Linked DNA regions of Sus scrofa. The protein of the gene in region 1 purifies or fractionates together with the protein of each later gene. This does not show direct contact. Links are inferred from orthologs where the notes say so. Each region holds a gene or a part of one and is shown on either strand. Other genes may lie near its edges. The genes, in order: ARHGEF2 and MARK2.

Region 1 (3,805 bases):
TGTTAACCTGCAAGGGATCTTGAAAACCTCTAATGAGCCCTGAGGTCCCTAGCCTAGGCCCTACCGGTTGTAACCGAGCCAGGGTAGAGGCCAGATGTTGCGCTGTCCCCACAGAGCTAATCCAGACAGAGCTTCATCACGTGCGGACGCTAAAGATCATGACCCGCCTCTTCCGCACGGGGATGCTGGAAGAGCTGCAACTGGAGCCAGGAGTGGTCCAGGGCCTATTCCCCTGCGTGGACGAGCTTAGTGACATCCACACACGCTTCCTCAGCCAGCTGTTAGAACGCCGACGCCAGGCTCTGTGCCCTGGCAGCCCCCGGAACTTTGTCATCCATCGCTTGGGTGACCTTCTCATCACCCAGGTGAGAAAAGACAAGACCCATGGGCAACATTCCTGGGAGGAGGTGTGACTAAAGTCATTTTTCAGCTCCAAACTCTAGGGGGTGGAGCCAGGGAGAGCTGGAGAGGCTTGGAAGCCAGCCTGTATGGCAGGAGACTAGAGGGTGTGGGGGATAAGAGGTGGCTTTGGGGGAAATGCTGACCCAGCCTTGCTCCCCCAACTTCTAGTTCTCAGGTCCCAGCGCAGACCAGATGCGGAAGACCTATTCGGAGTTCTGTAGCCGCCACACCAAGGCCTTAAAGCTCTATAAGGAGCTCTATGCCCGAGACAAACGCTTCCAGCAGTTTATCCGGGTGAGCAACCCTCTCCAGGACCCAAACTCAGAACCTCCTCCGGTGGTCCAGCCCTTGTAGACACATCTGCCTGTGGATCCTGTCAACAGCCCCCCATAGCAGTAGACCAAGTGCTTTTGCTACTTTGAGCCTCATGATAAACCCATGGCCTTGTCCTCCCCATTTTCCAGTCTCAGTCACCTATGCCAGCCAGCGCATGGTAAATGGCCAAGCTAGGGCCCACACCAGGGCTTAGGCTCCAAGTCCAGGGTTCTTTCTGTTGTCCTCGGCTCGGGTCCCACCTTGGCCCTGAGCCCTGCCTCTGTCCTTCTAGAAAGTGACCCGCTCAGCCGTGCTGAAGCGCCATGGGGTACAGGAGTGCATCCTGCTGGTGACTCAGCGCATCACCAAGTACCCGGTGCTCATCAGCCGCATCCTGCAGCATACCCACGGTGAGAGGGAGGACCCGGGAGGAAAGAAGATGGGGAGAGGGCTCTCTGGGGTGAGAAGCGGCTTGGGATAACCAAGAGGAGAGATAGAGTCAGCTGTGGGACCGTGGGCCACCTCTGATGGTGAGGTGAGATGGGTTGGAGTATGGTGGCTGGCATGAAGCTGGCTAAGCCACTTCTCCCTCACGCCGACCCGTGGTGCCAGGGATCGAGGAGGAGCGCCAGGACCTGACGACGGCACTGGGGCTGGTAAAGGAGCTGCTGTCCAATGTGGACCAGGATGTACATGAGCTGGAGAAGGGGGCCCGCCTGCAGGAGATCTACAACCGCATGGACCCCAGGGCCCAGACCCCAGTGCCTGGCAAGGGCCCCTTTGGCCGAGAGGAGCTTCTGCGGCGCAAGCTCATTCACGATGGTTGCCTGCTCTGGAAGACAGCAGCGGGGCGCTTCAAAGGTCAGTGGTCAGCTTGGCAGACCAGGGAAGAGTCTGCGAGTCCACGATCAGATTTAGAGAGGGAGAAGCATCCAAACACTTAGGACTTTTTTTTTTTTTTTTTTTGGTCTTTTGTCTTTTTAGGGTTGTACCTGTGGCATATGGAGATTCCCAGGCTAGAGGTTCAATCAGAGCTATAGCTGCCAGCCATAGCCACATCAACATGAAATCCCAGCCACATCTGTGACCTACAACATAGCTCATGGCAATGCGGGATCCTTAACCCACTGAGCAAGGCCAGGATTGAACCTTCGTCCTCCTGGATACTAGTCGGGTTCGTTAACCACTGAGCTACTCCTCCTTCAGGACTTATTTATGCAGCCCTATATCCTGGGTGAAACCTCATGGGAGGAAAATACATGTTCTCTGTTGCAACAAAAGTCTGAATTCTGGATTTAATTTCATGGGCCATACAAGGACTTCCTTAGTGATTTTTTTTTTTTTTTTTTTTTGGTCCTTGTATACCCAGAAACCTACCAGTTTTGATCAGGAAGACAGAGAAATTCCAGGGTCAGAGATCAGGGTTGATTCTTCCAGCTTGAATCCCAGCTGCTGGGGCTGGGGAATGGGCAGGAGTTTTGGGAGCACAGTTGGGGAAGGCCCAGGGGAGGGGGCGGAGCCCAGGGAGGGGCCAGCAGGGTAGAGAAGAGAGTACAGAGGGGGCATGTTGGGGCAGGGCATGCTTTCCCAGGCTCTCTTCCCAGACTGCTCTGGCCAAGTCTTTCCTACCTAAATCAAGACAAGAGAGTTGCAGTTTTCGGCTTTGGGGGTGAGGAATGAGGGGCAGAAGTAACCAGTACTACCTGAGACCAGAACCTGCCTGCACCTCTGTCCCATATCATGAAATCCCCACTCCATGGGCTTGAGTATCACAGGCTTCACCAGCCACTTTCCTTCATCCCTTTCTCTCCTCTCATCCCTCCCACGCAGAAGCTAAGAATATAAACTCTGGGGGGGATTAAAAATAGCAAGGCTGGAGAGCTTTATTTCTGAAGCATTTAGTGAAAGCCCTCCCCTTCTGTGTGCCCACTATTAGATCTCCAAGGGCAGAGTGAGTGTGTTTGCTTGACTGTGCTATCCAGTTTTCATGGGCTTGACCTTTGTTTCCCCCAAGTCTTTTTTTTTTCGGTCACGCCTGAGGCATGCAGAAGTTCCAAGGCCAGGGATCAAACTGGTACCACAGCAGTGATAATGCCAGATCCTTAACCCTTCTTGGAGGCACCAGAGAACTGCCCCCTAAGTTTTAAATTGAGAGCACAGGACCTCGTAGGATCTTGAGAACCTGGAAGGTGGGGTAGAGAAGGAGCATGAAAGCAGGGCCTGCTGAGGTTGGAGACTGGGATTGTTCAACGGTGGGAGAGGGGGATAAGGAAGCTAGCTGCTCCCCTCCCTGCGGAGGAGCACAAAATGAGAAGTAGGACTACGCCAGGGTAGGGGCAGGGGTGGTGGGATAGGGTGACCTTAGGCCAAATGTCCAGAAAGGTCTTATGATTGTTGTTTGACATGGAACTGAAAGGCTTAAAAACAGTAGTCCCTCCTACTGTGGATGGAATCCTTTTACCCTCACATAAATTCTGGACCTTTGCACACTGAAAATTACACGTGTGTTGTATGAATATGTAAAATTGCTTATGCAACTTTGGAGGCTTTGCAGAGCCCTGAAGCCCAACAGTGGACATCCTAGGGATCTGTAGACCCCAGGTTAAGAAACCTGCATCCCCTGGATAGAGTGTTTTTTTCAAAGGCATTGGGTGATTGCTTATGGGCGCTTTAGCCCAAGAAGCTGTTTTATCTAATGGCACATACATTTTTCTCCCAATTCCTGAGCTGTAAGAATGGATCAGGGGGAGTCTGCAAAGGTAGAGGGAGCAAACCAGAGGCAGAGAGATCAGGAAGAGGGGAATCAGGAGCTCTAGCCTGACGGGGTAGACCTGGTTCCTGAGAAAGGGAAACAGCTGCTCACACCCTCCAATGCTGAGTGTTCTCCTGCCTTTATCCTCCTGTCAGATGTGCTGATGCTGCTGATGACAGATGTGCTGGTGTTTCTCCAGGAGAAGGACCAGAAGTACATCTTTCCTGCCCTGGTGAGACCTTCCACCTTCTCCTTTCTCAGCACAGACAAGTGTTTCAGGCCCCTTCTTGATTTCCTACTCCAGCCTGAAAGAACCTTGGACTCCTCCAGAGTCAA
Region 2 (3,609 bases), on another chromosome or scaffold:
CCGCACGTCCACGCCCTCCTCCCCGGCTCCTCCTGGCACAGATCTCTGGGAGTGTGGGGAGGGGCAGGCCCCTCGTGCTGGGCTCCCTGTTGGAAGGGGACAGTCAAGCTGCCACTGTGAGGTGCCACAGAGCCGCGATGGCCTGCCAGGTGATGGGCGAGTAGCCTTTGGGTTGGGGTCCAGCCCACCCACCGGTGGCACTTCCCCAGACCCGCCCTCACAGAGGTCCCAGCACTAAACTCTCCCTCGCTCTGTTTTTTGAGGAACCTGAATGAACCTGAAAGCAAAGACCGAGTGGAGACGCTCAGGTGAGAGAGGGCTGGAGCCAGCGCCGGCCCTGCCCGGGGCCACCCGGCTTGCCACGAGCCGCCTGCTCCTCTCGTCCTTCTGCCACCTGGCTCTTCCTCCTGTGCTTCTGCCTCCCCCGTCCTCTCGGGGGTCTCCCTTTCCTCAGAGAACCCCACCCCCACCCCCGCCCTGCTGCAGTAGGTGCGGGCCCTTCTCCTTAGATCTGGTGTGTCCTGGAAGCAGGAGCCCTGGGCCGGGGTTTGGAGGTACAGACTCCTTCCCTGTCGGCAAGCTCCCCTTCCCACGAATCAGCCACTTCTTGCTGTCCAGTCTGCGAACTGCTCAGGGCTTGGAGCATGTGCTCCCCTTTCTTCGCCGCCCCTCCCTCTACAAAGGAAAGCCTGGAGCTGTCACCTCGTCACCCCCGCCCCCCGGGGGGCTGCAGGACTGCGCACCCTCCTCACCCCTCCCTCCGCTCCCCGGGCCAGGTCTGAGGCGCCCTCTTCCAGCACCGCCGCCTCCTGGCACCCTCCCGCTCTTCTCTCCGTCTCAGGGTCCTTGTGCCAGGGGGGCTCTCCCATGGGTGGGGCGCCCCAGCTCCCGCCTGACGCCCGCCTCTGCCCTCTCCGCAGACCTCACGTGGTGGGCAGCGGCGGCAACGACAAAGACAAGGAGGAGTTTCGGGAGGCCAAGCCCCGCTCACTTCGCTTCACGTGGAGCATGAAGACCACGAGCTCCATGGAGCCCAACGAGATGATGCGGGAGATCCGCAAGGTGCTGGACGCAAACAGCTGCCAGAGCGAGCTGCACGAGAAGTACATGCTGCTGTGCATGCACGGCACGCCGGGCCACGAGAACTTCGTGCAGTGGGAGATGGAGGTGTGCAAACTGCCTCGGCTCTCTCTCAACGGTGTTCGATTTAAGCGGATATCGGGCACCTCCATGGCCTTCAAAAACATTGCCTCCAAAATAGCCAACGAGCTTAAGCTTTAACAGGCTGCCAGGAGTGGGGGGCGAAGGAGGCGGCCAGCTGGACTTAGCTGCTGGGGCCGGCGCTCCGCCCGCCCGGGCCGGACTGCAGAGATGGATTGGTGTGTCTCCCCTGCTGGCACTTCTCCCCTCCCCGCCCGTCTCAGTTTTTTCTTCCATGTTTGTGGGGGCCGGGAGATGGTTCTCGCCCCCACCACGGTTACCCTGCCCAGATCGTCCCCCTCCCCCCCTCTCTCCCGCAGGAGGCGAAGGAAGGGGAGGGAGGGGTGGGGGGCGGGGCTCCCCCTCGGTACTGCGGTTGCACAGAGTATTTCGCCTAAACCAAGAAATTTTTTATTACCAAAAAGAAAAAAGAAAAAAAAAAAAAATCCCAGCGGCCACCTTTCCTCCCTGCCCCATTGGGACAGTCGAGACTGGATCTGCGGGGTTTCCCGGGAGGGTGGCTCAGGGCTGGAACACTCTCAGGCAAGAGTGGTGGAGTTCCCTGTTAGGCCCTCCGCCAGGCCCACTTTGGGCTTCTCCCCTCTCCTCTCCTCCTTCCCCTCCAAGTAAACCACCAGAGGTGGCCTTGCCCTGACCTCAGGCCCCTGGGCTGGAGGCCTGGGCGGCGGGGGGCTGGGGGTGGGGGTGCCGCGCAGCCCTGAAGCCGTGGGGCTGGCGGCTGCTCTGGGGCTGGCAGGCTGGGCGCGGGGCTCCGGCCTCCCTCCACACTGTATCCTCTGCCCCTCCTTCCCCAGAGCTGGGCATTTCCTTCCACAAGCTGCTGTGGGGACTTTTGTTCCCCTCCTCAAAAAGTCTGTGCCATCTTCTCCCACCCCCTCCTGGGTAGAAGGCGGGGCTGACCCCAGGGCTGGGAGAGGGGAGGGGACTGCAGGGCAGATGGGCTCCTCGGCCCCCAGGGGGCCGCCTGGGCTGCTAGTCTCCGGAACAGGGACGCTGGGCATTCTCCGTTCTGGGAGAGCCTTTGTCTGAAAGCACAGCCCCCCACGCCGTTCCTCTCCCCACTGCTCCCCTTCGTTGGCATTAATCTGGGCACCAGCTAGTTCCATAGCAGTGACTTCCCTCACCACTCATCTCTTGGCCTTGCCTTTTCTTCCTCACACTGTCACCCCTCCTCTCAGGAGACACTGCCCCGGGGCCTCCGCGGGAGGCTGGATAGGGCAGCAGGGCCGGGGAGCCTCTGCTCTCGGCGGCGGGGTGGGGGACCGATAGGCCAAGTGACTCCCAGCTCGCTAACCTCCGCAGCCAGCGTGGGAGTGGCTGGTTATGGGCGCTTGGCTGGTGGCAGCCGCTGCATCCCTTAATTTATTTCTCTGCTGTCTCTGTTCTTGAGAAATTGGGGGAGAGGTCCTGAACAGAGGCTGCCTCTACCCTCACCTGAGTTGTACATTTTTTTGTGATGGGTTTTATTTTTTATTTTATTATTTTATTTTTTTTTTCTTTTTTTGATTTATGATGACTCCACCCCTACTCATCACCCCCACTCCCAGGCCTGGCTCCCCGGCAAGTTGAGCCCTTGGGTCCCAGGAAGGGGCCCCGCCAACCTCAGCCCTCCTGCCCCAAGCCCTAAGACTGTGGGCTCGACTGTGGGCTCCGGCTCCTACCAAGGGCTCTCCCTCCCTCCCTCCCTCTCTCCCTCCCCTGCCCTATGGAACAGCCCGGGTGCTCCGAGGGGCCGGGAGGGCAAGGCTTGGCTCCCAAAGGGGGTGGTGGCTGGGGGGGGGCTCCCAGGCAAGGTGGCCCCTCCCCACCCAGCCCCCCTTCCTGCACTTAGTTTTTCCTCTGGATCAAACACGTAATAAAGAGAATGTTTGGAATCTGAGCTGCCTCCTGTCTCTTCTCCCAGCTGGGCAGGGACCCAGTGTCCATGGGCAGCCCAGCCCGCCTGCCTTGATTCCTGTCTGGGGCCTGGGGAAAGGCCAGTGCTGGGCGGGCGCCCTCCCCACTCCCATCCTCATGGCACAGACAGGAAGCGACGTCCAGGACACTTAAACTAAAAGAGAAAGGATTCAGTGAGCTTGAAGGTTTTATTTATTTTTTAAAAACATTGAAAAATAAACCCATGTCTGCATATGTTCCCAACCCTTTCTCTAAGCTTTTGGGCAGTGGGCACCCTCAGAGCTCCTCAGCACTTCCCACCTGACCCTGAAGACACAAGAGCCCCTTCTCCAGCCTCCGCTGCCGTCAGGCCCCAAAGAGCCTCTCTGCCCACCTCCCTCCTTCAACACCCTCCCACCTCACCCCAAACTTATTGCTAAAAGAAGGGAAAGAGGAGGAACAGCCAAGACACCTAACTGTCCTCTCCCCGGCTCCCCAAGCTATGGTCACTAC

The links.
Region 2: the proteins of ARHGEF2 (region 1) and MARK2 purify together in Homo sapiens (affinity purification with western blotting; 3 studies listed by BioGRID and IntAct, with this or other methods). This does not show direct contact. The link is inferred for Sus scrofa from reciprocal best matches to the Homo sapiens genes ARHGEF2 and MARK2.

Annotation. Positions count from the first base shown.
Region 1 is NC_010446.5:94,067,618-94,071,422, forward strand, and holds part of ARHGEF2 (rho guanine nucleotide exchange factor 2), read left to right. Parts: intron 1-114; coding exon 115-365; intron 366-570; coding exon 571-696; intron 697-1,009; coding exon 1,010-1,127; intron 1,128-1,329; coding exon 1,330-1,578; intron 1,579-3,624; coding exon 3,625-3,701; intron 3,702-3,805. UniProt on the Homo sapiens protein: Activates Rho-GTPases by promoting the exchange of GDP for GTP.
Region 2 is NC_010444.4:8,153,358-8,156,966, reverse strand, and holds the end of MARK2 (serine/threonine-protein kinase MARK2), read left to right. Parts: intron 1-263; coding exon 264-308; intron 309-920; coding exon 921-1,281; 3' UTR 1,282-3,097; downstream 3,098-3,609. UniProt on the Homo sapiens protein: Serine/threonine-protein kinase. Involved in cell polarity and microtubule dynamics regulation. Phosphorylates CRTC2/TORC2, DCX, HDAC7, KIF13B, MAP2, MAP4 and RAB11FIP2. Phosphorylates the microtubule-associated protein MAPT/TAU.